Linked DNA regions of Drosophila melanogaster. The protein of the gene in region 4 interacts with the protein of the main gene of each other region in a pairwise test. Each region holds a gene or a part of one and is shown on either strand. Other genes may lie near its edges.

What was found.
Region 1: the proteins of Pcf11 (region 4) and Dyb interact in a two-hybrid assay, tested with the Drosophila melanogaster proteins (one large-scale study listed by BioGRID).
Region 2: the proteins of Pcf11 (region 4) and CG4194 interact in a two-hybrid assay, tested with the Drosophila melanogaster proteins (one large-scale study listed by BioGRID).
Region 3: the proteins of Pcf11 (region 4) and synr interact in a two-hybrid assay, tested with the Drosophila melanogaster proteins (one large-scale study listed by BioGRID).

Annotation. Positions count from the first base shown.
Region 1 is NT_033778.4:12,433,594-12,442,016, reverse strand, and holds the start of Dyb (dystrobrevin), read right to left. Parts: upstream 4,673-8,423; 5' UTR 4,628-4,672; coding exon of another isoform or gene 4,608-4,627; 5' UTR 4,127-4,607; intron 1,385-4,126; exon of another isoform or gene 1,282-1,384; coding exon of another isoform or gene 889-1,281; exon of another isoform or gene 880-888; intron 830-879; coding exon of another isoform or gene 828-829; exon of another isoform or gene 697-827; intron 1-696. Other genes in the region: CG30334 (uncharacterized protein), read left to right, coding at 889-1,281; Tmem18 (transmembrane protein 18), read right to left, coding at 5,170-5,298, 5,355-5,503, 5,579-5,696, 5,761-5,820; DUBAI (deubiquitinating apoptotic inhibitor), read left to right, coding at 6,736-7,545, 7,611-7,942, 8,201-8,423.
Region 2 is NC_004354.4:2,065,393-2,072,126, forward strand, and holds CG4194 (uncharacterized protein), read left to right. Parts: upstream 1-3,199; 5' UTR 3,200-3,214; coding exon 3,215-4,009; 3' UTR 4,010-4,296; downstream 4,297-6,734. Other genes in the region: CG14054 (uncharacterized protein), read right to left, coding at 62-311, 366-499, 553-696, 757-846; CG4199 (uncharacterized protein), read right to left, coding at 1,317-3,031, 5,968-6,034.
Region 3 is NT_033779.5:4,938,369-4,945,942, forward strand, and holds synr (sayonara), read left to right. Parts: upstream 1-4,373; 5' UTR 4,374-4,483; coding exon 4,484-4,576; intron 4,577-4,642; coding exon 4,643-4,912; intron 4,913-4,979; coding exon 4,980-5,380; intron 5,381-5,434; coding exon 5,435-5,620; intron 5,621-5,679; coding exon 5,680-5,866; 3' UTR 5,867-5,932; downstream 5,933-7,574. Other genes in the region: Sgs1 (salivary gland secretion 1), read left to right, coding at 1-2,998; mRpL24 (mitochondrial ribosomal protein L24), read right to left, coding at 5,933-6,048, 6,107-6,496, 6,559-6,712, 6,824-6,907; betaggt-I (beta subunit of type I geranylgeranyl transferase), read left to right, coding at 7,536-7,574.
Region 4 is NT_033778.4:14,866,173-14,874,685, reverse strand, and holds the start of Pcf11 (Pcf11 cleavage and polyadenylation factor subunit), read left to right. Parts: upstream 1-3,614; 5' UTR 3,615-3,766; intron 3,767-4,373; 5' UTR 4,374-4,454; coding exon 4,455-4,637; coding exon of another isoform or gene 4,638-4,715; exon of another isoform or gene 4,716-5,040; intron 5,041-5,653; coding exon 5,654-5,779; intron 5,780-5,842; coding exon 5,843-6,058; intron 6,059-6,123; coding exon 6,124-6,453; intron 6,454-6,514; coding exon 6,515-7,202; coding exon of another isoform or gene 7,203-7,381; exon of another isoform or gene 7,382-8,073; intron 8,074-8,513. Other genes in the region: Cyp6a17 (cytochrome P450 6a17), read right to left, coding at 1-706; Cyp6a22 (cytochrome P450 6a22), read right to left, coding at 1,317-1,750, 1,818-2,883.

The DNA.
Region 1 (8,423 bases), 2.4 Mb from region 4:
GGGAAACTGTGGCCATGTCAACGACAAGAGTCAAGTCAATCAAGTGGAACTGCAATCGAATTGGGAGTGCGATTGGAAATCGAATCCCAGACAAAAAGAGGTTGCCACAAAAAGGGATGACAAAGAAAGCCCCACAAATCAATGCAAACGAGGGCCCAAGTGGTCAACAGTCACCACGCATATGGAAAATGGAAATCGTGGGCCAGTCTGCAAGTCGGCTGCCTTTCTCCAAGCTTTCCTCCTGCACTTTGCATAAATCTATAATGAGATTTGGAATGCAACTGTCACACATAATGGCATTGCCACGACGACAACGACGACGACGACGAACAATCTGACCAATCAATGCAGCTTAGCCAGAGGCCACTGTGCTGATATAAGCACGTTTGAAGTGGACAGAGTTGTCTACTACAAATATTTAATATTCCCTCTTTAGTTAGTTCGATTATTGCACACTAAACTCAAATAAACAATATACAAATATACAAATGCTATTCTTGCCAATGCTTTTCACATATATTGTAAATAAACAATATTTAGATTATGGCCCCCCATTCGCAAAGCGGAAGTCCGATGCCCAAATATTTATTGGCCACGATCGGTGTTTACAAACAAAACACGCGCCAGATGAAACAATGGCCATATATTAACCCCCACCGCTGTCGATCGAATCAGTCGGATCAGTTGGCTCCATAGAATGCCATACTTATGGGCAGTCTAGTTGGCTTTTCGGCTTTTAATGGGAAATAACGAAGCAATTGTTGGAGGCGATTATCGAAATTATACCGAATAGAGGAGCTCACTGGCCGCGCACAGTGAAGTCCAGAATGTGAGTAGTTGATACCGAATGCCTTCCAATTGATGGACCTCCGATATTAGCCAGCTAACATGTCCAGCTGCAGACAGTTCAATCCGTTCTACATTGGACCCTATCCGGAGCGTGCGTGCGGCGATTGTCCGTATGGCGAGTACTCGGGCTTCACCAGATGCGGATGGAGTGGCGGTAACGGGCCCTTTGGCACCACCTTCTGTGACTCCCGCTATGGCGGAGGAGGAGGAGGCGGCCAAGGCGGTGGAGGAGGGAGAGGTGGATGTGGAGGCAGAGGCAGAGGTGGTTGTGCGCCATCTTGTGGTCCTCGTGGCGGATCGTGGTCCTGTGGTCCCCGCCCGTATTCCCCGTGCTATCAATTTCCGTACGGAGCGGACAGCTGCATGATGTGCTCCAGTGGATTTGGCTGCTGTGGCCAATCCTGTCGCGCATCCTGCTACTCCTGCTGCTGAGCATGTACGTCTCGTGGACTCTGGACTTCACTGTTTGCGGTTAATTGGTTTCTTGAGTTATTTCTTTCTTTTTCTTTTTTTTGAGCAAAATTGATTGTAAAGCAAGAACAATTATGGTTAGCCCTTTGGGTTTATTATTATGGGCTTGGTCTTAAAATAACCAGATGCTTTACGCTCCAATCGCTAGCGAAAATCCCCTGTAATGGAATGCCCACACATGACTGCCTCTTGGTTATGGAGAACAAAGTTGTCGCCCGCGATAAATGTATGTACATCCCATACATCAAACGAGGCCACTGCGGGTGTGGAAATCCGGGCCAGAATCCGGTGTGGAGAGGAGTAGGGAGGAGAGGAGTGGAAAGGAGGTCGGCGCCGCTAAATGCGATTACAGCATAAACGATTAATTTTATTGCAGTTAGCCGAGCCGGGACGCTTGTTCCATAAACTAATTAAAGCCCAGTGGAAAGTGGACAGTGGATACATTCGCCGCTGACTTCAAAGAAAGGGTTAATTGTGCGCCTTGTGCGGAATTGGTCCCCCTTTTTCATTCCGCTCTCTTGGTTTTCCATTCTTCCTTTGTCTTTTCCGCAGACAACTGGGCAGTTTTCTTCGTTTTCTTTGTTTTCTAGGCCGAAATTACTCCGTGGCTAGATTTGGTGGGCACCACGTTCTCGTTCTGCTCCTCGACGCTACTATGGCCATTGTTGTGGCGGCTGTCATGTTGTGGGTGGCCGCACTCAGCTCTGTTTGTTTGTTTGTTTTTTTCTTTTTTTTTCCATGCTGCTCTGCGTGTTTGTCGCTTTGCTCTTTTTTCCCCTCTGCCTTCTTTTTCGTGTCACGCCTCATTTAGCTTTTCACAACATTTCCAAATTTCCACCCACCCGGTCGACACGTCGCATCGCAGCGCACGTAGTGTCGGAAATATCTGGGGATGTGGAGCAGTGGTGCCTAGTCCTCTGCACTCTCGGCTCTTAGCAGCACACATCAAAATTAACCGAAATAACCAGTGGGATGCGTGTATGCAGCTCTGTATCTGTGAACTAGATCGAGTCGCTTCGTCTTCAGATTGGAATGCCCCTCGTAATGAGCCACAATATGTTCGAGTTAATTGCATCGGATCGAAGTTGCCGCGGGGGAAATATCAACAGGCAGGCAATAGAGTCACGGTAGGCTAGGCAATTTTCCATATATAACGAATATTTGATCGTAATGGATATAAATGGATATAATAATGAGTTAAAGAAAGGCACCCCTGTGCGCAAGCTTTTGAGAATAGCTACCACTTAACAATTTCTTAGCTTACAATACAAGCCAGTAGTTAACTCAACTTGAATGCCATATTTTTCTGGAGTGATTCTATTTATGTAGGGGTATATGTAGCAACCACTTGCACTACACTTCAACACCTGATTTATGCATTTAATCGTAAAATTTAAAGATCGTCATAATGCCAATGAGTCGTAAAAACCAGCCAATTAAAGCCACTTAAATTTGGCAAATGGCAAGCGCACTTTTCCAAATGCATGGCTTTGATTTAATACCTGTGATAAAAGCAATGCGCTTAATGTTGGATCGTGGGATTATCTAGTGATTGTTCCGATTGCAGATAGTATTCGTGTATAGATGAGGGGCTCGAAAGTGAAACTCGCTGATATCGCAAGAGCATTCGATCCATTTTACTTGCCGACTTGTAGGTGGTTCGGAATGCCGCTTGGCATTCGGGTTTGAGCTTCGTTTTGAACTTCGGCTTGGCGCACCTGCCACGAGTGTTCCCCCTCTCATTCTCGCTCCCACTCCCGCACTCGCTCGCAGCCCCCTCCCTGGTGGACTCTCTCCTTCGCACCTTCGCGCGCTTGTTGGTGGGCCGGGCGAGCAGCCGCCGTTTTTCAAATGCTAAAATTGGCGATTAGTCAAAATGATGTCACCGAGTTATTTTGATTGTTTTTTTTCTTTCATTATTTCTATGTATTTATTTCGCTTGACTTTGGCATTTTGGCGACACGCTGACCATAAATTCCGTATTATTGTTTTTCCTGCTATTCGATATCACCGATTGCCAAAGGTGGGCTAAGATACAAAATGCTCTAATCTAAACACCAAGTTGCAGTGTGTGTGTGTGTGACTTTTCATTCGCACGACGCTTAATTATTCGCTGAGCTAATCATTTCACCGACTGCCATATGGCGGTATGTGATCTAATCTCAATGAGCAAAAGGTCTAGTTATTAAGGCATGCGGCTCAGTTTGATATGGAATTTTTCAACTATGCGAACTTGGATGTCAACCAGACGCAATAGTTAAGGAAATTCATTAAAACTTCAAACATTTCAGTTCCTTAAACTTATCTTGTATGAAGTATTATAGAGGAGATATCAATATACCCGTTAAGCTTTTTAATATAATTTACACAATTTCATAATTTCGTGAACGAGCGAACATGGGGCGTGGCGTGAACCACTAGACTTTCCAACGGAATGCAAATAGTTTAACTATGGTTTCCCACATAGCAAAAACAACCAAATCCGAACTTTCCTCCTAGCTGCCCGCAAACATATTTAGTTGTAAACTAAATTCCAGGCGCAACCACAAACAGGCTTGGTTCAAAGTGTGGAGGGGAGGGGGGAGTGTTTTGGGAGTGGGCGCAGGGGGGCAGACACTTTTTATGAATGAACACTGTGCGCTGCGTCGCCAACGCGTCACTCATCCGAGTTTTCCTATCGCGGAAATCTACTACGCATTTCAGTGGGTAAGTGAGGGGGGTGGAAGGGCAATCTTAGCAACATTTTATTGGTATTGTTTATGCCCGGGAATTTGGTAATATAATCCGCACATTATTTGTTGTTTACCTTTTGTAATTAGCAACCTTTTTTAATACGTCACTTTTTGTTGGGCTGCGCGGAGTTGCTGCTTCTTCTTGCTGCTCTTTCTCCTCCTTCTCCTGTTTCTCTGCACTTATCGCGTTTTATTTTCACCTGCTGTTTACACACAATAAACGATGAACGGTAAACGGAGTTGCCAAACTCGCGTTAGCGAACGAGAGAGCAAGATGCAGCGCCGAGATAGAGAGCGAAGATGCTGCGCCCTTTTGGCCTTTGGTAAAAAATATGGTAACAGAAAAACTTCTTTTTTTCGGGCTACGCTTATGGGCTCAAAACACATACACACCGACGGCAAAAACGCACACACACAAGCGAGCTCGCAGGAATTTTGAGCCTGGCTTTAAACCGCAATGCTATGCAAAACTTTTTTCTGGCTTGCCAACGGTAAATACGCAGCGCGATTTGCGATTAGCTCCGTGCGAATATCTTATCAACGGATTTTGTTTACCCAAAAACCACTTCCAACATTGCGCCGCGACACTGCTTCGACACCCACAAGCCAGCAACAACAAAATCGTTGGACAGTGTTACCAGACGACGAAGGGCTCCCAATTGAATTCGTACTAAAAAATGACACAGGTCCAACGAGCTTCTAATTTGAAATTACAGTCTTGGCACACAGATCAGAAATTGATACAGGCAATAAGCTGATTGGATCTATAATGTTAATTTCGTCAAAAATATCAAAATAGTTCATATTACGTGATATATATAGAAAATTTTAGGTGGCAGTAAAAACTGCTTTACCAAGGTGGCAACGGTAACTGGTGTGATTTTTTGCTTAATATGAAGGGCATGTTAGGTTTGTAACTTCGCTAAGTAAAACAGGATGTAAAAATAGCCTAAATTTACAAATTCTATAAGTTTGATTATACTAAATTAAATTTATTTTAAAGACGAGAGCTGTGCAGCAAACTACATCTAGATGACAGGAAAATCCATTTAAAGCATAACATATAATTTCACAGCTCTACTTGTGCTTTTAACTGCATGTAATACAGGCGTAAGTTCTACTCTGCCTTTTTATGTGCTATGGATTCCGAATCCGCCTTAGTCTGGCGTTCCTTGCGAGCTCGCTCCTTGAGCTGCGCTGTTTTTAGAGTCACCATCAGCTGCGTGGAGTTGTAGAGCCAAGTGCCCTGCAAATAAGCAAAGATAAATACACACTTCATGCAGTGGAAACACTATAACTTACAATCAAAAGCATGCAATTAAGCAAAATAGGTATTGAGAAAACTGTCGAGATAAACAGGCCGTTGCTATCGAAGTATTGTTGTCTGGAAAAGGAACTCCAGTTGTTAGCAGCGAACTCATTGATGCTTTCGGTGAAGTAGACTGCCAGCACTGAGGAAGATGAAGCACATGCAAAAATCAGAGTCATTTATCGGGTAAGTCAAGGAAGCCGCCAAGTCCACGTACACAGTACTAGGAAGAGGAAAACCTGGAAGTTGGAGCTGTTCCGGCTGAGCAGCGCAGTGGTGGTGGTTAAGATATGCGCCAAAATAAGGCCAATAAGCCAGGGATCCTTCCAATCGATCTGCAAAAATAGTGACAACTTGCCGGATTCTTGATTTTTGATTGTATATAGGCGAGTATCTTACGCTCAGCAGAAATGTCCAATAGCCATTGATCTCGTTGACCTCAATTTGCCCTGGGTGCATCGTACAGATTTTTGTGAATATAAATGTTTCCTGTATATATTTTGCGATATATTCGAAAGCCGAGTCAAAACAAACATAAATAGCCATTCGCAGCGAACAGCTGTCATTTTTCATGGCAACGCCATTTTGGGAGGCCTATAGACGTTCAGGCTTCCTCAATTTTGACTGGATCTGGTAGCGCTGTTTGTAAGACCTAACTTACTATTTTATGGGCTAAATATAACAACATAAATCAAAATACTATTATTTCGTTTAGTATGTATTACTCACCATATAAATGCAATTACAAATTTTGTGCCACCTCATTCTCACCCACCCCGACTTGTCGTGCAGAGTCGCCCTGCCCGTCATTCAGTCTGAACGTGTCGATAACGCTTTCACTGACTCAGTAGACAACATTAACAAATCCGAAAAATATCACAAAGAATTCGTTTTAAAACAGTCAAAATTGTAGTTTTTAGGGCGAATCAAATCTATTCGGGTTATTAAGTCGAACGGGCGACGTGTGAGCAAGCAATCGAAGCTAAAGCCGAGCAGGGTAATCCGAAAAAAGGGGCGCCTTAGATGTGGCACGGGCCACCGACCCTACCGTGCACCACACTCGTCTAGGACTCTGTTCTAAAGCGCTTGTGGCGGGAGTTTCTGGCCAGGATCGGGCAGGGATCGAGGCGCACTCGAGACCCGTTGAAAGGTCGCAGTCAAATCGTAACGACGACACGTAACGGAGCGCGGTTCAAGGACACGCGGCTCAGACTCCTCGCTCAGAGTCGCAGGCAACGAAAAAGCCGCTGTGTTCGGGCGCTAGGCAAGCCCACGCCTCCGCCCATCGGCAACTGGAAGTTCCAGTCGGCCCTGTGGTCCGCAAGCCTTTGTGCCACTCACGTCCACGCCCACGCCAAGCGATTGAAACGCGAAATGGCCGTTAAGCAGAATAACAGCGAGGCGGGTGATAATGCCTCGGATAATGCCGGAGGAGCTGGCAACGGCATTCCGCCCAACGCCAAACCCATGTCCGCGAACGGAATGGCGAATGCCGAAGAGAACGTATTGCCAAAGGGCATGGACACGGGTTCGCCCGCTGGCGAGAGCCTGAACTCCAACCGATCGGGCAAGCGGGATATTAAGGCCCTGCTGGCATACCTCCAAAGCATCGATATGCCGGAGCAAGGCCACAATGTGATGGCCATCTGCGAGAGGGTTATCGTGGACTTGGCCCGTCTGCAAATTCCACGAGGCGCATCCTGTCCACGCCTAAAGGAAGACGTCTGCCAGGTCGGTGCCTTTCTGGCTACGCGCAACGAGAAGTTCCACCAAATGTTCTACCTGCGTGTCGTCTACGAGCTGATCACCAAGTCGCCATTCGAGCCACCACCCTCGTGTGCCGTGGCCATTGTGTTCCAGCTGTTCGACTCCACGCAGATCCTGGAGGCTGTACACTCGCTGCTGGAACAGAATGTGCAGGACTCGAGCATTAAGAAGACGGTGAACCTGCTCTGTGATTGGATCACGTACTGCACCTTTTGCAGCACTCTCAATCTTTGGGTGCTGGCGCTGCTCAAGGGGCTAAGGGATCAGGGCAAAATGGCGCTGCTCGACGAGATTGCAATGGACAACATCGAGAAGCTGTTCCACGTGATGATCTTTCCGGCGCTGAGGCAAAAGGCCGCACCGGTTGTGTTTCACATGCTGTCAACGATTAATCAGACCCCCGAGGTTTTTCACAAGGTAAACACTTCACTCAAACATTAGCTTCAACATAATTATTGACATTTGGTTGGTTACCCTATTAGATCTTGCCAAGGATCCCACGAGTCCTGCAGTATGTGAAGAATCAGTCGACCACCATGGACGAGATTGGCCTGGAAACCAAGAAATGTCTGCAGCAACTGGTCGACCTAACCAGCGCCCTAATGCTACGTTTCTATGATCAGGATGAGCTCTATGTCGCAACCAAGAAAGCCCTGCAGACCTATGAGCCCTCTCCGAATTGCGTGGCTCTGGCAAAGGCAATGCATGAGAATGCCCAGCCGTGGGGTCGGCGGAATGCGAGGGTTGGACTCGTTAACCTGGGGAATACCTGCTACATGAATAGCGTACTTCAGGCGCTAGCCATGACCAGCGAGTAAGTAAAGATCAAATGAAGAAACCCCACTTCTAATTTCCCCAAAGTAGAAGCGCAAAATAATATCTTTGCCTCATATTTATGATTAAAACTCGGTTCTATATTTGCATTGCCTTGCCAGCACCTTTTGTTTAAGAGCTCACTGTTTATAAATCTGTTTTAGGTGTCAATTTCCGATTACGAAAATAATTACGATTACGAAGCTTATTGGCTTTATTTATCTTCTTACAACTACATATACTCATTTTCCATTTGCAGTTTTAGCAGGCAAATCCTGCTTATCGAGTGCAATTCAGTGCTGCTCATGAAAGTGCAGCAGCAGATTGCCCTGATGCATCACTCGCTGCGCTACGAACTAACGCCTTCGCGAGTGCTGAACGCCACCCGGCCGCCTAGCTTCACGCCCGGCCTACAACAGGACAGCTCCGAGTTCCTAGGATATCTGCTCGACCTGCTGCACGAGCACGAGATCAACAGCTCC
Region 2 (6,734 bases), on a different chromosome or scaffold from region 4:
CTCGGCGGTGCTCGATAACCAGTGTTTAAAATACTAAAGGGCCAGGACAAGGCGGAACATGTCAGAAGCCCGCCACGAAGAGATTGAGGGCATCCATTTTATCCATTTTGCTCTCTGCCTCGAAGACGGGACGGGCCCCGCAGGACACAAGCGCCAGGCAGTCCACACAGTTCCATAGGAAACAAAGTCTGTGCCAGACGTGCATCAGGATCGGGGGCAGCTGGTGTTCCAGTGCTTCTTGCAGTTTCTGTATCTCGTGGCAGAGGAGCCGGAGACGCTGGATGCGTCGCAGCTTTACGTCCAGGATGCGACTGTGGAAGAACAGACTAGATAGCCCAACTAGACGACTGCGGTCAGTACAATACCTTCGAAGTTCAGTGCAGGCGTTCTCCACGTCGTTAATCCTCATCCTGGTTACGAACAGTTCCTGACTGATGTCGAAAGCTCGGGAGCACAGCATGGCAGTTCGTGACTCGAAGAGGTCAGATTTATCCAGCGCCTGAGGAGGAACTGCTTTTACTACAAACAGTGGTCGGACGAATCTTTACAAACCAGATTCCTGAGCTGGCGGTTCCGCTCCTCAAGAAATTGGGTGCGCTTCTGGACATCCGCCAGCTGCTGGGACATCCCAGTCGGTACAGTATTCTGATGATGTAGGTCGACACCATGCAGCGAGGATAAATCACTCAGCGGAAGCTATTCGCCGACAAAGTGGTAAGTTAGTACACCCCACATGACCATTTTCAAAAGCCATACCGTGTGCTGGGTCCTACCCAGCTTTGTGGTAAACAATTGGAGGCCTGCGTTAAGCAGGGATCGCTGGGAACTCCGACTAGGTGAGGCCATCGATTCTAGAGTTACGTTCCTAATTTGGAATTTCGGTTTGAACGCGAACAATTAGTTAGACTGTGTAAAAATAAGCAAGTGTGGAAAGTACGGAAATACTCACGGATAAAACCGTTTGTAAGTTAACGGGTGAAGCGAGGAGCTAACGACCTTGTTTGAAATTCATCAATAGGAAAAAAGCCAAAACTATTGTTTTAAATACGAAACGTTAAAATTCTTTATTTAGCAAAAGTAAACCAATACGCCATTGTGTGGCAAGGGAATGAAACGCTTACATCTTTGATCTCTTGGGCCAAAAGTGGCAACCGCGGCGGGAACTCAAGGAAGTCCCCACAACTACAATTATAAATATACACAGATATAGTTACACGTTTATAGAGTTTTGCATACGAGTACCCATAATAAATACTCAACGATTGCATGAAAATATAACAACAAATCTCAGCGGTAATACACATTAAGTTGATTATTTAGCGAACTTGGGGCAACGGCTGGCCAAGCTTCTTTGTCCAGTCCTCACGGGTGGCCGGGTCTTCGATCTGGCCACGACCGAGGCACTTGCCCTGCGAGATTAGCTCGGCAAACTGGGCCACAATCGGATCCCGGCCGCACGAAGCCACCGCTGTCACCGTATCCGCCTCGTTGATGAAGTAGGCCACAAACTTAAAGTCCTCCATGCTGCCGTCAATGATCACATCCTTGTAAGAGCCATGCCCGGCATACCGAATTCCCTTGCCGAAGATGAGGGTGAAAAAGAAGGGCACGGCCTCCAGCTTCTTTACCCCGCCGCACATGTTGATGGCCGCCACTCGTCCATGGTATTGAGCCAGCTGGTAATGCCCGATGTTCACGCGATCGTGGGCCAGCCCGTGAATGTGGGCGTTTGCTATATCACCGCCCACATACACATCGGGTACATTGGACTCCAGGAAATCAGTGACGTCCACGGATCCGTTACGATTTACCTTCACGCCCGACTTGGCCAGAAATTGGGTGTTGAGCTTGGAGCCAGTGCCCAAGATCAGCAGATCGCAAGGCAGACGCGTGTCATCTACCAGCACCACCTCTGATACCTTGCCGTCTTCGTTGCCAACGATCTCGGCGATGCCGCTCTCCATGCGCATGACCACCTTGTTGTCCTCGAACAGCTGGAGCACCCTCTGACCAATCTCCGCGCCGAATGCGGCCTTAAGTGGGACGTTTTCACGACCCACAACCGTGACGCTTTGCACTTTGGAGACCAACCCAGCAGCTGCCTCCAAGGCGATAAAGCTCGATCCCAGACAGACGACGCGGGACTCCGGGGTGATCGATGCCAATATCGCCTTTGTATCCGCCAACTCTCGGACAGTGCGGACGTTCTCCAAGTTAACACCGGGAATAGGCGGCCGGAAGGCGGAGCAGCCTGTGGCCAGGTAGATTTTATCGTACTTCACCACGTAGCCATTGCTGCAGTGCAGCTCTTTCTGAGCGGTATCCAACTTCTCGGCGGCGACTCCTTGCCACAGTTCGATATCGTACTCTTTGTAGAACTCCTCGTCGCGGAACCGCAGCTGCTCGATCTCAAGGTTCATAGCCTTGGAGATCTTAACGCGATCGTAGGGCAGATAGTCTTCGCGGCACACAAAGATTAGGCGCCCAGTAAAGCCCTCCTGTCGGATGGTTTCCACGGCTACAGCGCCAGAAGGACCACCGCCAACCACGATGAACACTCGCTGATCGTCGGGCTTGCGTCGGACCATGTTCTTGAGTCGCTTGTTATTCACCAGATCCGATCGCTTTGCACGGAGCATCACCTGTCCCTCGTTACCCACTTCCACGCGATAACATGGCAGGGAATCGAGACCAGGAAAGTCCTCAATGTCTCCGTTTTCCAGGTTAAAGCAAGCGCCGTGCCAAGGACAGCGGACACGACCCAAACCCAAAGCTCCAGTCTGGAGCGGAGCTCCGTAATGGGTGCACTTAGCACCCACTGCTAGCAGACGATCGTTCTGCTTCACGAGCAGCACGCGGGTGTCCTCATCGAAGTCCACCTGCTTCATTTCGTTCTCCTTCAGATCCGTAACTCTGCAGTCCACGGGGACCGCACTTGTGTACTCCGAATCCGGCGAAGACTCTTCCGTCGACATGGTTGTACTGGGACTCTGGTTGCTGCACTTGGACTGGTAGGAACCCACGGCACCACCTGCCGAAGCCATCATGTAAAGAGACAAGCAAAGAGAAACGGAGATAACAATACAGATAAGAAGAGTGTGTAGGTGAATGGACACATCAAAATTTTCCAGTTTTTCTCCAAGGGTCCAAGGGAAATTCTGGCACCGCTTGCTGCTCAGGTAGAAACAACAAAAAACGAATATCAGTCGAGAAAATGCTTCGCTCGCGTTCAGAAGTCTTTGTGTGTTTGCTTATGATCCTGGGATCAGTTCTGGTCCGTTCGAATCTTGGGAATCCTCAGGAACTGGAGCTAAGTGCGCTGCGCACCCACAAACAGCTATTGCAGGCGGAGATCGCACGTCTTTTTTTAGAGCAGCCGCTTCGAGCGGAAACTCAACTTCTGCTGGAAGATCTACAGCTAAGAGATCATCAAATAGGCGTTCAGATAGAAAAGCTCGAGGAAATCTCCAAGGGCGAGACCACGCAGAGGCTGGCCATCAATCTAACGGCTGACTTTGAACACCTGCAGCATAAATTGGATGATTTGAAACGACAACTTGAGCTGCTCGACGGACGCTTTGCCTCCCAAGGGAAGCAACTGGAAGGACACTCGTCGGAAGGCGCATCGCCGGCTGGCCCCGGATTAGGTTCCTTTTTGTGGGGACCCTTGCTGACCATGCCAGAGTTTCCACAGGGCAGTGTGGCCAGCGACCAGCAACATAACCACCACCAGCAGGATCATTCCCCGGATCCGCAGCAGGATTCCAGTCCCTCTATCATTAAAAGAGTGCTGGACATGCTTAGGCCATCCATAGGAGTATCAGGTCTGCGGAGTCGTTGGACTGAATCCGCAAAATCAGCTGCAACGGGCTTGGCAACACCTAAGCCCACTCACCCACTTAGTGCTGAGGAGCTCCTACCGCAGCTGCAGGAGCAGCGCAGGTTTCTGGACGATGCTATTACGCGACTGGAGCTCTTGGCCGTCAAGAAGGGCTCGAACAAAAACTAAAATATGTGGAAAATCTAAGTAAATCAAACACTTAAATCCATCTATCCAAAAGTTGAGCTTTGAGATTAAACAGAGGATCAATATTTATTTACTTAAATTGCCAGAGATCATCATTCATAACCAGATTCGTTGAGTCACTGTCAAAAATTCAGAGAAATTATACTATACCAAATAAGTAAAGTTCGTTTCATAATGATTTGTGACCATTTCCGAAAACAATTGAACTAAAATTAGATTGAACAGTCACCTTAATGAAAAGTCTAAAGCAATAAATACTAACTATCTTTAAAACCATGATATGTAATTGTAAAATTGTGTGTGTCAGGGCACTTATTTTAAGCAACACCGAGGATAGGGTAGCAGCTGCCTAATTGCCATCGATGGTTACCTGACCACAACAAAGCGGATCCTAGCGACAAGTCCGAATCGATTGACTCATCCGACCTACTGCAATGTCACGTCAACTAGGCATACCTAAGAACCTCAAGTTGCTACGTCATCAAGAAAAGCCAGGCGGTGAGGAAAACACCTATTGTATAAAGCGTAACCGTAACACCTGTAAACGTGTGTCGGTTCTGTTCTGATATGGCGATAATGTCTACACGCCCCTATCTCAAGTGACTGGCTTTATGATGTATGGTAATATGGTATCGCTGGTATATGTATCGCCGATATGCCCATGATAGAGGAGCTGATGATTCGGCTTTTTGCGGACGGAGGCGTGCTGATCGGAAATCAAACATTTCCATCGAAGCAGCAAACATGAAAAACAGCAAGTCATGAATTACCCAGCGAAACAGATGTAGGGACAACTTTTCCATCGAGTCGGTTAACTTCGACCCTGCACTGTACATTTGCCAATCTCTTTCAGTTCTCTCATCTAATTAGCAATGATTCGCCATGTTAATAACACAGCTGCGTTTTCCACACACACACGGACGCGTATACATGGGAGCAAACCAAACCGGTTGGCCTTGTCCAACTCAAGTGAGTCAAAAGCCAGGCCAAATAATAATAATAATAACAATTGCACGAGAACAAGTTTCACCGAAATATATAACTCACAAAATCGGGTATCACAGAAAAGGACGGACAGGCCGCAGCTAAGAGAACGTTCCGTCTGATATTAAGAGCTTGCCGGCAGTTGGCGAACGAATGAACTGGAGACCGCCGTTGGAGCAGCCAATTTAAGCGAACTGGGGCCTCATTGGAGAGCCCAAGAGAACGAATGCAAGACATGGCAATAGACAATAGGCAGGCACACAACACAGACGAAATTCCGATGGCGGTGACTAACCGCAGTGGTACAGTGGCCATTGCCTAACAGAGACACGCAAAGATACCCTGTAAGACTCAGAACAGGAAACTTCAGAGCGTCGCAACCATACATAGGAGCTCCTGTAACTCCATTCAAGGTGGTAAAGATGGCCATGCTATTGGATATCCACAGGGAAACTGTCGCTTTAGGGGAATTAGTACCCGGGATTAAGTATTCCCGCATCGATAGCTACTGTGGCAATGACGCAGCAGCAGTTCAAGCAAGTTGCGCCCTCCCGCCGTCCCTATCTCTTTGCCAATCTCTTGGACTTGTGCCGCTGAGACAATCATCTAGGCACCTACGCCCGGCCCGAAAACACCCATCTAATGCGGGTCATTCCCACTCTCCTAATCACAACTCCAAGCCATTTGGCCTCGTTTAGTTGGTAAAAGGAACACGGCACTGGTGGCAATCGGATCATCTACGACATTACCACGCACTTTTCGAATTGAAGTCGGAAAACGAAGGGATTGGTTTAAGTACATTTGGAACTTTTTTTTTGGGCAAGATGATCTTATTTTATTGGGAAGAAACCATTTGCGAGATTAGAAGTGGCGCAGTCAAATTGGAAATGCGACCTTGCCTTGTTGTTTGGCAATTGACCTTTCGAAAACTATTCATCTGTAAATCGTGCATTTACCTGTCGACTTCTCCTTTTTGGGAGTGCTGCCCGTGGTCTTGTACTCCTTGCAGTTGACGGAACCCATTGTGTTTAACAGGCGGTTGTTGATGTGGCTCGCAAAAGACGGGGCGTTGAGTATCCTCCAGGATTGGCTGGACGGGAGCTTGCGTATCCTCAGAAGGCCTTCAAAGGCTCGTTTCGTTTTGACCAAGCTCAGAGCTGTGCGAGGGGACTGCCACCTGAAAGTTGAGTGGCCAGTTTAGGAGCTTTACTTTTCACTTAATAACAATCAATCACTGTGCCAAAGCTCGTTATCAGTTAGTTAGTTCCCGCGTGTTAATCATTTCTATTTAATTATTCCTCCACAGCCTGAGTCATCAGCCGCAGATGGATGTGCTGAACTCCCCCAAACGTGTCCGAGATGCTGTTTTTTGCAGCACACACAACACACGTCGTTGTTTATTTGCGAATTGCTTTTAGTCGCCAATCATCACTCACCACTCTCCACAACAACACTAAACAAAACAAAAACAAAACAACTGGAATATCGCGTGGAAGGGAGGATGAGAGCCTGGGAGCGTGCAACAGGTCGGGGGTCCGCGTCTGTGCCGAGATAAGCGAAGTGGAGTCGAGTGGACCAGGAACGCTGCGAGAGAGCCGGGAGAGCAAGAGCCAATGCAATGCGAGGCACGTCTGGCGCGCGTGAACTGCGGACCGCGTATGGCGCGCAACTTCGTCGCTGGATTCGACTGGAACTGGAAGCTTCGTGCCTCCCCAACACACAC
Region 3 (7,574 bases), on a different chromosome or scaffold from region 4:
TAGATCCACAACAACAACTACCACAAGTCGCCCAACGACAACTACTCCTAGATGCACAACAACAACTTCCACTTGTTCCCCAACGAGAACTACTCCTAGATCCACAACAACAACTTCCACAAGTCGCCCAACGACAACTACTCCTAGATGCACAACAACACCTTCCACAAGTCGCCCAACAACAACTACTCCTAGATCTACAACAAAAACTTCCACTTGTGCCCCAACGACAACTACTCCTAGACCCACAACAACACCTTCCACAAGTCGCCCAACGACAACTACTCCTAGATCCACAACAACAACTTCCACAAGTCGCCCAACGACAACTACTCCTAGATCCACAACAACAACTACCACACGTCGCCCAACGACAACTACTCCTAGATCCACAACAACAACTTCCACAAGTCGCCCAACGACAACTACTCCTAGATCCACAACAACAACTACCACAAGTCGCCCAACGACAACTACTCCTAGATCCACAACAACAACGTGCACTTGTTCCCCAACGACAACTACTCCTAGATCCACAACAACAACTTCCACAAGTCGCCCAACGACAACTACTCCTAGATCCACAACAACAACTTCCACAAGTGGCCCAACGACAACTACTCCTAGATCCACAACAACAACTACCACAAGTGGCCCAACGACAACTACTCCTAGATCCACAACAACAACTTGCACTTGTTCCCCAACGACAACTACTCCTAGATCCACAACAACACCTTCCACAAGTCGCCCAACGACAACTACTCCTAGATCCACAACAACAACTTGCACTTGTTCCCCAACGACAACTACTCCTAGATCCACAACAACAACTTCCACAAGTCGCCCAACGACAACTACTCCTAGATCCACAACAACAACTACCACAAGTCGCCCAACGACAACTACTCCTAGATCCACAACAACAACTTCCACAAGTGGCCCAACGACAACTACTCCTAGATCCACAACAACAACTTCCACAAGTGGCCCAACGACAACTACTCCTAGATCCACAACAACAACTTCCACAAGTGGCCCAACGACAACTACTCCTAGATCCACAACAACAACTTCCACAAGTGGCCCAACGACAACTACTCCTAGATCCACAACAACAACTTCCACAAGTGGCCCAACGACAACTACTCCTAGATCCACAACAACAACTTCCACAAGTGGCCCAACGACAACTACTCCTAGATCCACAACAACAACTTCCACAAGTGGCCCAACGACAACTACTCCTAGATCCACAACAACAACTTCCACAAGTGGCCCAACGACAACTACTCCTAGATCCACAACAACAACTTCCACAAGTGGCCCAACGACAACTACTCCTAGATCCACAACAACAACTTCCACAAGTGGCCCAACGACAACTACTCCTAGATCCACAACAACAACTTCCACAAGTGGCCCAACGACAACTACTCCTAGATCCACAACAACAACTTCCACAAGTGGCCCAACGACAACTACTCCTAGATCCACAACAACAACTTCCACAAGTGGCCCAACGACAACTACTCCTAGATCCACAACAACAACTTCCACAAGTGGCCCAACGACAACTACTCCTAGATCCACAACAACAACTTCCACAAGTGGCCCAACGACAACTACTCCTAGATCCACAACAACAACTTCCACAAGTGGCCCAACGACAACTACTCCTAGATCCACAACAACAACTTCCACAAGTGGCCCAACGACAACTACTCCTAGATCCACAACAACAACTTCCACAAGTGGCCCAACGACAACTACTCCTAGATCCACAACAACAACTTCCACAAGTGGCCCAACGACAACTACTCCTAGATCCACAACAACAACTTCCACAAGTGGCCCAACGACAACTACTCCTAGATCCACAACAACAACTTCCACAAGTTGCCCAACGACAACTACTCCTAGATCCACAACAACAACTTGCACAAGTGGCCCAACGACAACTACTCCTAGATCCACAACAACAACTTGCACAAGTTGCCCAACGACAACTACTCCTAGATCCACAACAACAACTTGCACAAGTTGCCCAACGACAACTACTCCTAGATCCACAACAACAACTTGCACAAGTGGCCCAACGACAACTACTCCTAGATCCACAACAAAAACCTCCACTTGTGCCCCAACGACAACTACTCCTAGATCCACAACAACAACTTCCACAAGTCGCCCAACGACAACTACTCCTAGATCCACAACAACAACTACCACAAGTCGCCCAACGACGACTACTCCTAGATCCACAACAACACCTTCCACAAGTCGCCCAACCACAACTACTCCTAGATCCACAACAACTACTTCCACAAGTCGCCCAACGACAACTACTCCTAGATCCACAACAAAAACTTCCACTTGTGCCCCAACGACAACTACTCCTAGATCCACAACAACAACTACCACAAGTCGCCCAACGACAACTACTCCTAGATCCACAACAACAACTACCACAAGTCGCCCAACGACAACTACTCCTAGATCCACAACAACACCTTGCACAAGTCGCCCAACCACAACTACTCCTAGATCCACAACAACAACTACCACAAGTCGCCCAACGACAACTACTCCTAGATCCACAACAACACCTTGTCCAACTACAACACCATCTGCAAGTCCTACAAGAACAACAACAACCCGTCGTCCTTGCCCTTGCCATCCCCAGCCTCCTTACCAGATTCCTCCTTGGTCATGGTGGTATCCGAACCCGACCTACCCCAATCCCGTGTGGCCCTGGCAACCTAACCCAGTCGTTCCTCAATGGCCACAGATGCCCGGATATCCAAATCAGTGGCCACAATTACCAGGTTATCCCCAGCAATTACCACCGCCGTTGCCATCACCTCAGTGGCCGTGGTCTTGGCCAAAACCACCAGTAGTTCAACCTGGCGACTGTGAAAACATATGCGAAAACCTACTGAAGGGAGTAAAATATCAAGAAGATCTCATCAGAAGGTGCTTGTGCACACGAACATAATCCTTTAAAAAAGAATCACGTAATTGTTTTATTAAAATGTTGTCTATTTAAAAAAATAACTTAAAACAAAGTTTTGATGGTTAAAAATATCGAACGGGTATGGTATGGATGTAGGTTTGATGATATTGAATGGCAAGTCTATCCTTCAGAAGTGGGAGGAAGGATTATGGATGTCACAATGGCGCATGCGCCTATATGGTTTTTGGATTCCCATGTTTTGCTTAACACTTTCGTCCCTGAGAAGCTCAGAAAGCTTGGGCGCCATTCATCAACAAGTTTGCATTCGGACTTCAGCACTCTAATCGACACTTGACTACATTATTACTTATTTAAACGCAATCATTTGACCCATTATTTTCCGACGCCTTTGCGTTTGGTTGCACTGCATTGCTCATGCGACATATGGTCGCACTATATGTTTGGAGCACACATTCGGACAAGTTTAATGACCAATTGCCAAGGGATTGGAGAACTCACTGCTCTTCGAATTAGGTTAGCACATTAGCTGGTTAAGGACAAACGTGGATTGAAGTTAGGATGGGGAGAGAAACAGGAAAACTTAACGAGTTCTAGCATATGATAATGTGTACAGCCATAAACTTATAGCTAACATCGTAATCCGTGCACAAGCTATTAAAAACTTCAAGAAGATATGTCCCTAAATTTTTCCAATAGTAATAAATATATAACCAAATTTACTCTCTCTGTAGGGCATACTACAATCCTAATAAGCTATAAACACTCCAGAGCAGAGCCTCTAATTTGCTGGTAATTTATCAAAATCTAGATTATAATCCTGCTGATGGATTATGTTTCGGGTCGATTAGTACCCCAGTTATAGGACTACTAGAGTTCGTCCTTCGTTCAGCTGAGCTTGCACATTTCCTACACAATAAGCAGATGTTAATGGCTCCCTTCTTTGTTGTTTTTGTTAACTTGTTAATACAAATACACCGTGTGCCAATTCACAAATCCAACAAGGTATAGTGGACATGCCAACAAAAAAGCTAGCAAAGCAAATAACACATTGTTGACAAACAGCGGGCTATTGGGGTGAACCTTCAAAAATCTATTGAACAAAAGTATTACTCGTCATATGTATTGTAGCATTTTAATTAAGGAAACATGTATTTTAATCAATATAACTTAAACTTAAAGATAGTAATGGTTGCACATGTCGTATGCGCAATTTTCATGAAGAGTGGTCCGCTCTAAAGGACACATACGTGGTAACAAGGGGGCTACGCTGGCCCCTGTCCCCACCTCCCGAAATGGTTTGTGGGTGGATTTGGTGTGGCCCTGTCCAATGGCTAGCGCGCAAAAATAATTTTTGTTATTGTGTTTTCCCTCATAAGTGGACATGACGGACCCAACGAAAGCTCATTCAGCGCTGGACAGGCGAACTGGAAAGGTCTAAGACGGAAGATGTCATCGCCGGCAGAGCGGGCGAACTTCGTGCAGCACTTCGGACAGACAACCTGAGTGATGGGCTGTGGCTCCTCCATGGATACGCAGACGAATCCTGTCGTCACGGAGGTCAGCTCGGAAATGCAACCTCGCCAGAATGGCGCCTCTGGAGTAATAGCACTTGAACAAGTCGTCTTACCTTTGCCATAATCAATACCTCTTCCATTTCGTCATCAGAATGTGGTCGAGCAATATGTGCGCCTGGACGAGCAGATCAGCAAGCTGGAGGGCACATGTCCTGGTCCTCGAATGGCCACCGCCGAGGCCTGGGTGGAGCACATTCAGAGCAAGCACGAGGCGATGCTGGGACTCGATGGCATGGGAGTGTCTCCTTTGCGCGAGAGGGAATGGGAAACCGAGGAGGCCCTGCCCATTCCAGCTTACACAATGGGGGGGCGGCAGGGCGACCCAATTGTGGCCAACACGCCCACCAAGGACCTGGCCCAGGTAAATGGCCTGCCATTAGTGAATGTGATGAACTTCCCTCAAGTATATTATTACCATTCGACTTTAGCTTGCCTACAACCTGGGCGTAATTGGCGATGCCCGCAAGGCTTCCATGCACGAGGATTTCTTCGCCAACCTGAGCGAGTCCGCCATGTATTTGCTTAGCATTCGTTACTACGGCGAGATGTTGGAACACACTAAGGTGCGTCTAAAGACTCTGGCCGAGAGCTATGCAGAGCTGAACGAGCTGTACGTAAAGCAAGACGGGATTATAGCGTATATAAGCGGGGGAACGTACATGACTCGGCTGGAGGAGAGCATTGATGAGCAGCTTGAGACGGCAAGAGATACAAGGGATAAGCTGGGCAGCGCACTGGAGCAGTGGCGCATCTGTGGATTACTACTTAGAGCAGCCGCGAATTCCTCGACGCAGGCATTAAAACAATGGCGACAGCTTGGACGGATAATGTGGGTAAATTAATTCCCCACTTAGAACTTGTTGACATGTTATTTCTCGTTCAGAGATCCCAAGCAAAAGCTTCAGTGGGCGTTGGACTGTCGAAGTCTGTTACACGCCTCCACGATATCCCTAGAGGCGGCTCAGCTGGCTCTGCCGCACGTGGAACTCAAGTACATGAGTCATCGGCAAGTCCTAGCCGTCAAGCACTGCAACACCTACCTAATCACGGATATAGCAAACAAAGCGCGGTAAGTTAATATATAGATTTCTCTAGAATCTTCTACAAAGGGAAACGAATCCCTTTTAGGTACGAGCACACCAGTCGGGTCTTCACCAGTTACGAATCAAACATGTCCAAAACCTGCACGTGGCTCTACGAAACCTTTAACAGCACGCTGCGCCCAGACTACGACAGGGCGGAGGAAACTGTATGCGGGCTGGCCAAGACGCTCCGGGATCATCGCGAGGAGGTCTTCAACACGGTGCGCAAGTGACATTAAACTTATTGCTCAATTATATGGGTATTTTGTACATTACTTTAATAAACAGTAGGCATAACATTAGTACCAATAGCTCTTGACTGGCGTGCGTTCCTCTTTGATGCCCATTTCCTCCATAATGTCCATCTCGAATGTGGACAACTTGGGCTGAAAGGTGATCTCGCCCACAACAGCGCCTGAAAAGGACAGACTTGTATGACTAGGAACATATTGAAATGCGATAATAGCCCATACCTGGCGTATCCTTCTCCCTTTCGATATAGGCGTTTGGTGTTTTATAATCGTGCGTCTGGTTGTTCGTCTCCGGGATGGGTATGATTCGGCCAGATCGCAAGGACACCCGCACTTTCTCGCCCTCCTCCGTGAAACGCCACTCAAAGTCGGTGCCCTGAAGATCCGATGGGTCAACCAGACGAATGTCCTTGGTGACGTGCAAAGGTGCCTCGGACTTGATAATGATACCGGGAAACTCCTTCTCACCGCCAACCTTGCGATAGTGCCAGTTCAGGCCCTCTACAATTACCCAATTGCGCTCGGGTATAACCTGGGTGACAATTCCCTGCTTTCCTTTGTCTTTACCCACAAGGACTTCGATACGATCGCCGCGGAAAAAGCTCCAGTCCTCTGAAAAGGATATACAACCATGTTTTATTAGGTTTTAGAGGTCAAGGCTTCTTATTCCTTACCAATTGGTTCCACTAGCACCTTGCGACGCACGGTTCCGGGCATATTTTGCTGGCGGAACTGACCCGTCCATGAACGATTTGTGGTGTAGCGGAATCTCTTTCGCTCCACGGTACGCGGTAGGTAATTAATCTCCTTCGGAGTTTGCCAGTACACCTGTGTTGAGATGAAAAAAAATATTTTAATAAATGTGAAACATTTTCCATGCGATGTGTTACGTGAGCCGCTGTTCACAAGTTGTTCAATGAAAAAGACTCTTCCTGTTACCTGTTTTTTGCTGCGCTCGATGTATTCCTTGGGCAGATTGGAAAAGTTCTTCAACTTGCTGGCCAAATATTGCGTTAAACGCATTTTGAAAGGTTAATTCAATTATTAATAATAAGAACTAGTAAATTAAATGCGGCTTGCAATCAGCTGTTGAGAACTGAAGAATAGCCATTCACAGGAAGGCCCAACAATTTTATTTATATTTAATGTTTATGCGACTCTAAAGATTATGAACACTTGATGTAGGCTTGTAAAATATTTAAATTAATTATTTTCGAGGTTTAAGAAAATATCTTAGCTTATATATTGTTAAACATTATGATATAGAAATTTAAGAACTAGCAATTATTTCCCCGTGTAAACGTGGTTCGCTGTGACTGGCAAGAAGAGGTAAGAAGAAGCAGCTGCTATTTGTGGACTACTCTTGGTGTTTTATATCGTTCGCCGTAGCCCTAAATTGCAATGCAAACCGGCTTTATATAAACAAAAGGTAAGTGCTAGACCATATAAATGTGGGCACGTGCGGGCGCAACATCATTGGAAGACGGAATCGCAACCGGAGAGCGTCTATTCCGGCCAGCTCAGTCCAACCGTTTGGGAAGGGCCTTTCAACGCTTAGTCATATCCATATCTCAGCGCACACCGAGACAATCCAGTTCCTACCCACCCATAAGTTCCTCATTTAACAAGCAATATGTCCCACCACATAGATATGGAAGACCGCACTGATACGGAGCCCGTGCTGCTCTCC
Region 4 (8,513 bases):
GTAAGCGGCGCGATAACTTGGGAAATCCAAAGAGGAATATATCCAGCATATTCCCGTAGCGATGCTCGGTGATCGCCCGCTTGCCAATTGACACAAATTCAGCCTTTGGATCGTACAAGCTGTTGCAATTGAGACCGAATGCGCAGTTGCCGATCACATCGGCGGTGTACCGTGCCACCAGATCCACAACCTCCAAAACTTGACCCCGATCCGCAGCGGTTTTACTTCTGAAGACCTTATCCATTTCTTCTCCAACTTTCACAACAATCGGAAACATGTTCTTCATTTTGCCGGACGTAAAAGTGGGTGTCAGTTTGTGCCGCAGATGACGCCACTTCTGACCCTCGATGCTGAACAAGGTGGCCGACAGCGGATCATCGATCTCGTTGTAGAAGACTCCCCGATTCTCAAAGTGATTGAAGTCCTTGATCAGCACCCTCTTGAGCAATTCCATGTCGGTGACCACAGCAGTGCGGGTGAAAAAGAAGAAAAATCCAGCGAATGGGTAATCGGAGTTCTTGTACTTGAAGTAATAGTCCCGAAAGATCTCGGCAATGTGCCGCTTATTTGGCCAGTCCTTGATGTTTCCGAAAAGCGGGTGTACCTCGTCGTGCGGTATGCCCCTTCTCTGCCAGTATCCATGACGTCGTCGGGCCGCGAAGACGAGCAGTGATAGTATCACAACGATTAGCGCCAGTAACAACATTTCACGTCCAGAGTCCAATACAAACTGACTTTAAAGTGGGATGCCACAACGCAAGCTCATTCGCGTATGAGGACTTCGCTCTTTTCGCCAATCTCTCATTTTCACACACAAAACTCACCGTTCAAGTTCTCTTAAGGTTTGTTCTCAATGTGATAAATAATAATTAGGGAATCATATGCGCAGTTAAAATGGTTGTATACACATATATGAACAAACAATCTATATACATACAATCTCTGTATATAAACAATCTAGCGATTACGCAATCAAAAAAATATAAACAAAGCGAATTCCAGTAATTTTTATTGCATTCTTTGCAAACTTGGTTTTTGCCAACGTAAATGTACAAATTAAGCATGAAACTTGGAAAACAGATTTCATTATTTAAAATCCCTGGAACTGGTGAAATGCTAAGATAACGTCAGTGACGAAATACAAATATTTAATCGAACAAATTAAGCTCAAGAAGCTTGATTAGATATACAGCAGTTTTACTGTACCTACTACGTTGATTGATAAAAACATTTGATTGTGTATTTGTATAACAGCATTGTAAAATGTAGATACTAAATGTTAGAATACAATCCAGATAGCGATTTAATAAGCAGCACTAACTACTCATTTGGCTAAGCTGTTGGACTTTTAAGTAAATTCCGTTGGCGGGGCACAGCAGAATGTTGGACTTGAGAAACTCAATTTTTGGGTCAGTTCGCGGACAGACGCTGAAGTGAAAGTTTCGGAGCAGACTGACCAGGCCAATGGTCGTCTGCATTTTGCCAAACCTCATTCCAATGCAATTTCGCGGTCCATCGCCAAAGGGCAGCCATGCGGCGGTGGGTCGCTGCGCCAGTTGATCGGCCAGAAAGCGCTCCGGGATGAACTTATGTGGCTCGGGATATAGGGCGGGATCATGATGGATGCCGTAGACCGGTATCAGTAGCATTTGACCCGGCTCGATGTAGAAATGACGATCGCCCTTGGCTGCGTAGAGATGCCTGGAGATCCGAGTGAGCTGCGGTAGTATGGGATACTTCCGAAGGGTTTCTAAAAGATACAGTGGTAAATGGTATCATCTTTGTAATATTTAAAATTCGTTTTGAGTCGGGCTCACCTGCTATGACCAGTTCCATGTACCGCAGCTCCTGCATGGAATCATATGTGAATTCACCGTTGTGTAACCGCAGAGCCTGGTCGATTTCCTCGCGTAGCTTTGCCTGCAGTGCCGGCTGCTTGGCCAACTCGTACAGGGCAAATCCTAGCGTTGATGCGGATGTGTCGAATCCCGCCGCAAAGAATATAAATGCCTGGGCGGCCATTTCCTCGATGGTGAGCTCACCGCGCTGCTTCATTTCGATCAGCAGGTTCATGAAGTCGCTCCTCACGATGCCCTGCTCCTCCCTCTGCTTCACAGTTTCCCGAACGATGCCCACATAGAAATCCGTAATGTCTTGATGGATTTGGCGCATGCGCAGAAACCTGGCCACTTCGGGGAAACTCTCTATAAATCCATCGACCAGCTTGCAGTGGCGACGCTCTGAAAAGGCTCTCCTGCCCATTATGGCGAACTCCGCCTCGGGATTCCGGAGGCCGTTGCATTCCACGCCAAAGGCACACCGTCCTATCACGTCCGAAGTGTAGCGAGCCATCAGATCACCGATCTCGAGGATTCCACACATGGCATTATCCGCCAACTCGCCACAAACTTGAGTAAGTTCCTCGCCCACCTCGCAGACCGTCGGAAACATATACTTCATCTTAGCTGAGGTAAAGGTGGGGGACATTTTCTGGCGCAAGGGTCGCCACTTGGGCCCGTCAATGCGGAATAGATGCCCAGTTAGAGGATCATCCCGCTCATTGTGATACATTCCCCGATCCTCAAAGTTGGCGAAGTCCTGTATGAGGATCTGTTTGGCCAGTTCCAGATCTGTGACCAAGACCACAGGTCTCAACATCATAAAAAATCCGGCAAAGGGTGCTCCATTGCCCTTGAACTTCTCATAGATTGGCGTTACAATGTCGATGAAATGTTTGTTTTTCCGAAATCCCTCCATATTCCCCACGGGAAACCGGGCCGGCTCACTGCCAATGCCCCGCCGGGTCCAGTAGCTATATCTCGTCCGCACGAACCAGAAGCCCACTGCCAGGGCAATAAGCAGTAGAGCCACTACATCCAGCATCCTCTCCCCGAATAGATTCACTATGAACTGAACACTGGACCAACGCCTCTATTCGCTCCGCTTACAATCAGCTGCAGTAGTGTAAACAGACCTAGGCAGATAACCTCGTCTCATAGAATTTAGGCGCACTGAAAACAAATCGAACTGAAGCTCGGACTTGACGAGCTTTTAACGGTGATTCAAGTTAATGCAATTGATATAGTGAGAGATAACTGTAGAACACCCGCCTTGAAGAAAAAGTCTATGCAATATATGCATTTATTCTCTGCTTACTATATGAGCGTAATTAAAAGTATGATAAGAATTTTGCATTTCTTATCTGTTTTTTTTCTTTCTTTTTTTATCTGATCTAATATCAGACTTATTATATAGTCTTCTTGAACTTCTCGACTATCAGATACCCGTTACTTGGCTAGAAGAAATGAAGTTAAAGAAACAATACTAATTTTCGGATCGCCCACTACCGCCACCTGGTGGTATATTAATTCAATTGGCAACGCCTATAAAATTAAATAGTGCATATTGCATTAAAACTAAATAAATAAAACACTTCTAACATTAATTTCTTTTTTAATTAGTTATACTGCAATTTTAAAGGCACTTTAAAATTTAACATTTCTAGTGGTTGGCAACGCGGTTTAATGCAAAAAATACCTTAATGGTATATTTTTAGTATATTTCCTTAAATAAAAATTGTATAAAATGTATAATTTCCATTTCACGTCGACGGCCACACTTTTAAGTGTAAGTCATCAAAAATACATCGCAGTTGTTACGTGAGAGTTTTCAAAAGCTAATTTTTATATAGTAGCAGTGCTTTTGTGAAATTTTTTCCTCGCAAAAGTGTCTGGCAGTGATTGTACAAATGTATTAGCTTAAAAAGGTATGTTTTTAAATGTTCTGCAGCGCGAAAAAGTAAATTGAAGTCGAACTGATAACTCGCGTGTGTATGTAGTGGTAACACAAACGTGGCTTTGTCTGGGAAAATCTCCGTTAAATCAATTTAAGCAACGAGATAGTTTCACTAAAACGTAAATATTTCGTGAAAGCGTGAAATGCGATGTACAGAAAGGAAAAACAAGCACTTTATTGGTTAATTTATTCGGGCAGGCCACACATGCGAAAATATGCTCATGGCCGCCATATTGAATTTTCGTCGTCATTCCGTACGTGTGTGTGTGTATATATGTAAGAGATTACCTTGTGTTTGTGGACGCGCGTGATTGTTTACGTCTGGTACGAATTACATACATAGATACGCTGTATACAGGATTATCTATCCACATAGTGCAGCCTAAGATTTCAGTGCATCACGGTTTATTACAAATAAAATGGGCAGAGATGAAGATATCGCTAACAAACATCGCAACCTTAATACATTATTCATCCAAAATATCCCGACAAAATCCCATTAATAGTGCAAACTTTTTCACACAAATTACCTTTGCTTTTCATGTCATTTAATTACTTTGTTATATTTTCCCTTGCAGTCGAAACATAGCAACTGCGACTACTTCAAACCAAATAACTTGATCAATATCCGGATCAAGATCTGGAATACAGAGTCCACAATGGAGCAGCTATTTCAGAATTACCGCGACGATGAGCGAAGGATCGGCGAGGAGTATCTGTCAAGTCTCCAGGACCTCAACTGCAACAGCAAGCCATTGATCAATATGCTCACGATGCTTGCCGAGGAGAACATCAACTACGCCCACATCATAGTTAAAGTGGTGGAATATTACATCAGCCAGGTTAACAAAACAAAAGCGTATTTACTTAAAAACAAAGACACTCCAGCTTACACACAGCTAATAGACGGTCGACACTAAAAGTGATTCTCCATATCGAAATTGTGATAGAATGTGCAGTTTATTGATTGCGGTTGCCCTTTGATTGCAGAGAAACCCAACGAAGGCCACACATATGCGTTTCTAAGACTCGGTTCTTTCAGTTGGGTTTTTCTGCAAACTCTTGGGCACAAATGGTAGATAGGTTCCTAATAATCTTAGTATATATCTCATAATTTGGGTTATAAACCGTGACTGATTTTAATCATCTACAAAGGTAAGAAGTTTAACCAACCTGCTCCTCGTTTCTTATTTCTTTCTACTTTGGATCCCAGAGTTTAAAGCTAAGGAATAACAAACAACCTTTAAAAAAATATTGAAAAATAAATAAAAAGAGAAAATGCTTAAACAATTGTCACCAAGTTGTCTTTTATTTTATACAAAAACTTTGACTGCTTACAATCAATATAAAAAAAATTGATGTGCAGCAATTTTTGTATTACAAAAAGAAAAGTGCAAGTTTTCGTAAAAGTAAAAAAAACTGCAGCCAAACAAAAACAAATGTCCATAATACGTAAGAGTAGTAAAAGCCTTTGTTTCTGCCACATTGTCACTGCGATTTTCATTCATATTCACTCGGCTAAGGGAACAGACCGCTAACATCATACGCCAACACTGTAACCCTTAATGTTTGGAGATCCTTAGACACCGCGTTTCCTCATTCAACACCCAATGCTTAGGAAAATATTTCTCTGTAGGCTAGGATATTGTTTGAGTTCGACCGCCTTGGCATGAAGGCACCCACCACCAGCAGATGAGGATGATGACTTCGGTGGACGATCGCTGACCCTGCTCTTGTGTTGTCCATCGGCCTGTCTCATTAGTTTTCTTCCAACCTATCCGTTTGAATCTCCGCTAGCGACGTTCCGTAGACACTTATTCTTCTTTATTTCTTACCTATTTTACTAAACTTCTAACAGGTGGCGCCCGAATTTAAATTGCCCATACTATATTTAATTGATTCGATAGTAAAGAATGTGAAAAGCAGCTACGTCCAATTGTTTGGACAGTGCATAGTCAACATATTCCTCCACGCCTTCGAATCGGTAAGCGAAATCATTTTCTTAATGTCAATCCAATGGTTCATTAATGTTATTTCAATCCTGCAGGTCCAGCACTCACAGTCGCAGGTTTTGGAAAAGGTGCGGGAACGCATGTATGCCCTGCGTCAGACCTGGAACGAGGTGTTCCCGCCATCCAAGATGTACGCGCTGGACGTTAAGGTGAAGCGCCTAGATAACAACTGGCCCATTACTGCCAAACAGCCAACTAACAAAATTCACGTCAATCCGGCCATTCATGTTAATCCGGATTTCTTAAAACCGGTAAGTGCCCCAAATAACTATTAATCCCTTTAGTTAGACCAATGTATCCATTCAATTGTAAAAAGGGTTTGGTTCCTGGGATGCCTGGTAACCCCACAATCACCAGCGACATGGAGGAGATTTTGCAAGCAAAAACTCGTGAGTTGCTGGAGCTCAAGAAGCGCAAACTGGAACTGGAGCTGGAGCAAACCAAAAAGCATTTAGAGGAGCAGGAGCGTCAGCTGACCCAAACCACGGACGCGATGGTTGGAGCACCGATTATTATGCCTGCTCCCACTCCAGCAGCAATTTGTCCGCCAATCACGGATCCCGGTATAGCAGTGCATAATCAACGAGCTCCAGGAGTAATGGGCAATGTTGGTCCCGTAATGCATAACATGCCAGTGGCTCCGCAGGTAAATTGTGAAATATGATGGTGGAAGCTATAAAAAATCTAATTCAACTATGGAATTACAGCTTTTTGCGAATAAACCAAAAGTCCATCCTGTCAATCCGGCACTGTTGAACTCGGTGCGCCAACGAGATCCGAGACTAGCCCGCCAGATGCATGCGGCATCCTCACATCCAGCTGCGCCGGCACGAAACGATCCTCGGCTGGAGGCCAAATCTAGCTCCTCACAGAAGTCTAGTCGGTCGCGCAGCAAATCGCCTGTGCGCAACAGCAGCAGTCGGTCTGGAAAGAGTGGAAGCTCTAGCCACAGCAGTTCGTCGAGCCGCAAGCGAAGTGAGTCAAAGAGCTCCACGACTTCCTCATCTTCGTCGAGCTCTGATGTTCGGCACAAGGGTGTCACTGCAAGCAGCTCCAACCAGCCAACAGTTAAGCGGTCCGGTAAGATCACGTCTAAGGATTCGGATCGCTATGTTCGCAATGGATCTCCTTTGGGATCCGCGAAACGCAAGAGCAGCTCACCAAGTAGCTCGCCCTCCAAATCCAAGCGCAGCACGTCGCACAAGTCATCCTCGTCGCGAGGAAAGACCTCTTCTCTGCGTTCCCGCAGTCGATCTCCAGTTTTTATGGACGTCGACCTACGCACCGGAGTTCGAAGCAAGTCACCAGAGAGCAGGGCAGTTGCCCCATCATCCTTACCACTGGCGGGCGCATCACTACCAGCATCAGCTAAAGCACCAAAAGATTTAGAGAAACGTAAGAAACAACTTTTAATTCTAATCTCACACTTGTTAGCGAACAACCAAGTCTGGTTTGACTTGGAACCTAGAGCTACAGACAGCTTAGTTGAAAATTTAGAATATATCAACCAGAATGGCGGCACTCGATGGCTTAGGTTGGTGGAAGGGCGGGTTATTGGGACCGTATGTGGTTGACAAGTGGAAATCTTCTGCTCAACTCTAACCGAAGTCTGTGATAAGTACAATTGTGATACCAAAGTGGCGTTCCCAACAATGGAATGTGTTAAACTATAGATTTTGCTTGAATTCTGATAAATATCATATTAAATTACTACTGAACAACAATTTGAGATGGTTATAAAAGCGACCATTGCCAGTATTACTTACTGATCAACATTATTGACAAAGATGTCTATAAAAAGATTCCACTAACTGCTGAAATTTGGTTCTTCGTTCGTTGTTTTTTGGCCCAGTTTATTGGAAGCAGGAAATTTGTTTCGTTTTAAAGCAACTAACCGCCAACAATTAATTAAATATTTATGATATATTTTTTCTTATAAATACTTAAGCGTCGTTTAGAAAAATCTAACAAGTTTTATCGAATCAAAAGCAAAGTGTAAATAAAATGTGTTGAAAACCTTTTGCATTCCAAGTTGTTTTAATTGATGCAAAATGTAGCCAGGTGCCGCCTTTGGTATGATTTTGAAAATGATTTTCGATTTGTGAATGTCAAAACAATAAGTACAACTAAATTGAAAGCGAACCAAAAATAAACCAAAATGATTTAACTGTGAAGTATTTTTTGTACCTTAAACTTCCTATTGATAAACAATTATTAGATGAAGAGAAACTCAATAAAATAAAGACTGCAGTTTTAATTTCCTGTTAACAAACGTGTAAACCCGAAGTGAACAAACATTTTTAAACTAAAATCCAAGTCTATGGAACATCTAGAACCAGATTAAGTTTACTTTTATTTTAAGCATATTTTGTAGTTGGCTTTAATGTATATACAAGCCAGCTAGTGTTGAATTTGTATATGTATTTATATTGTTTTGTATTTGTAGAACGGCACTTTTATCCCTTTTAATTAATTTTAATTACTATTTATATTTTTATAGTCTAACCTAGATTTTGCATTGGTTCCCCAACGGAGCCCGTGGATTCCCTAAGTTATTATTTATGCATTAGTTGCTATCAGTTTCTCTAGCCTGATTGTTGTGCCTGGTGTTTGTTGGCCCTGTTGTGTCCCCCCCTTTATAATTTTGTTATGATTTTCCAACCACTTTCCCGATTTTCTTTGCTTAGAATTCTCTGCCTAATTTAA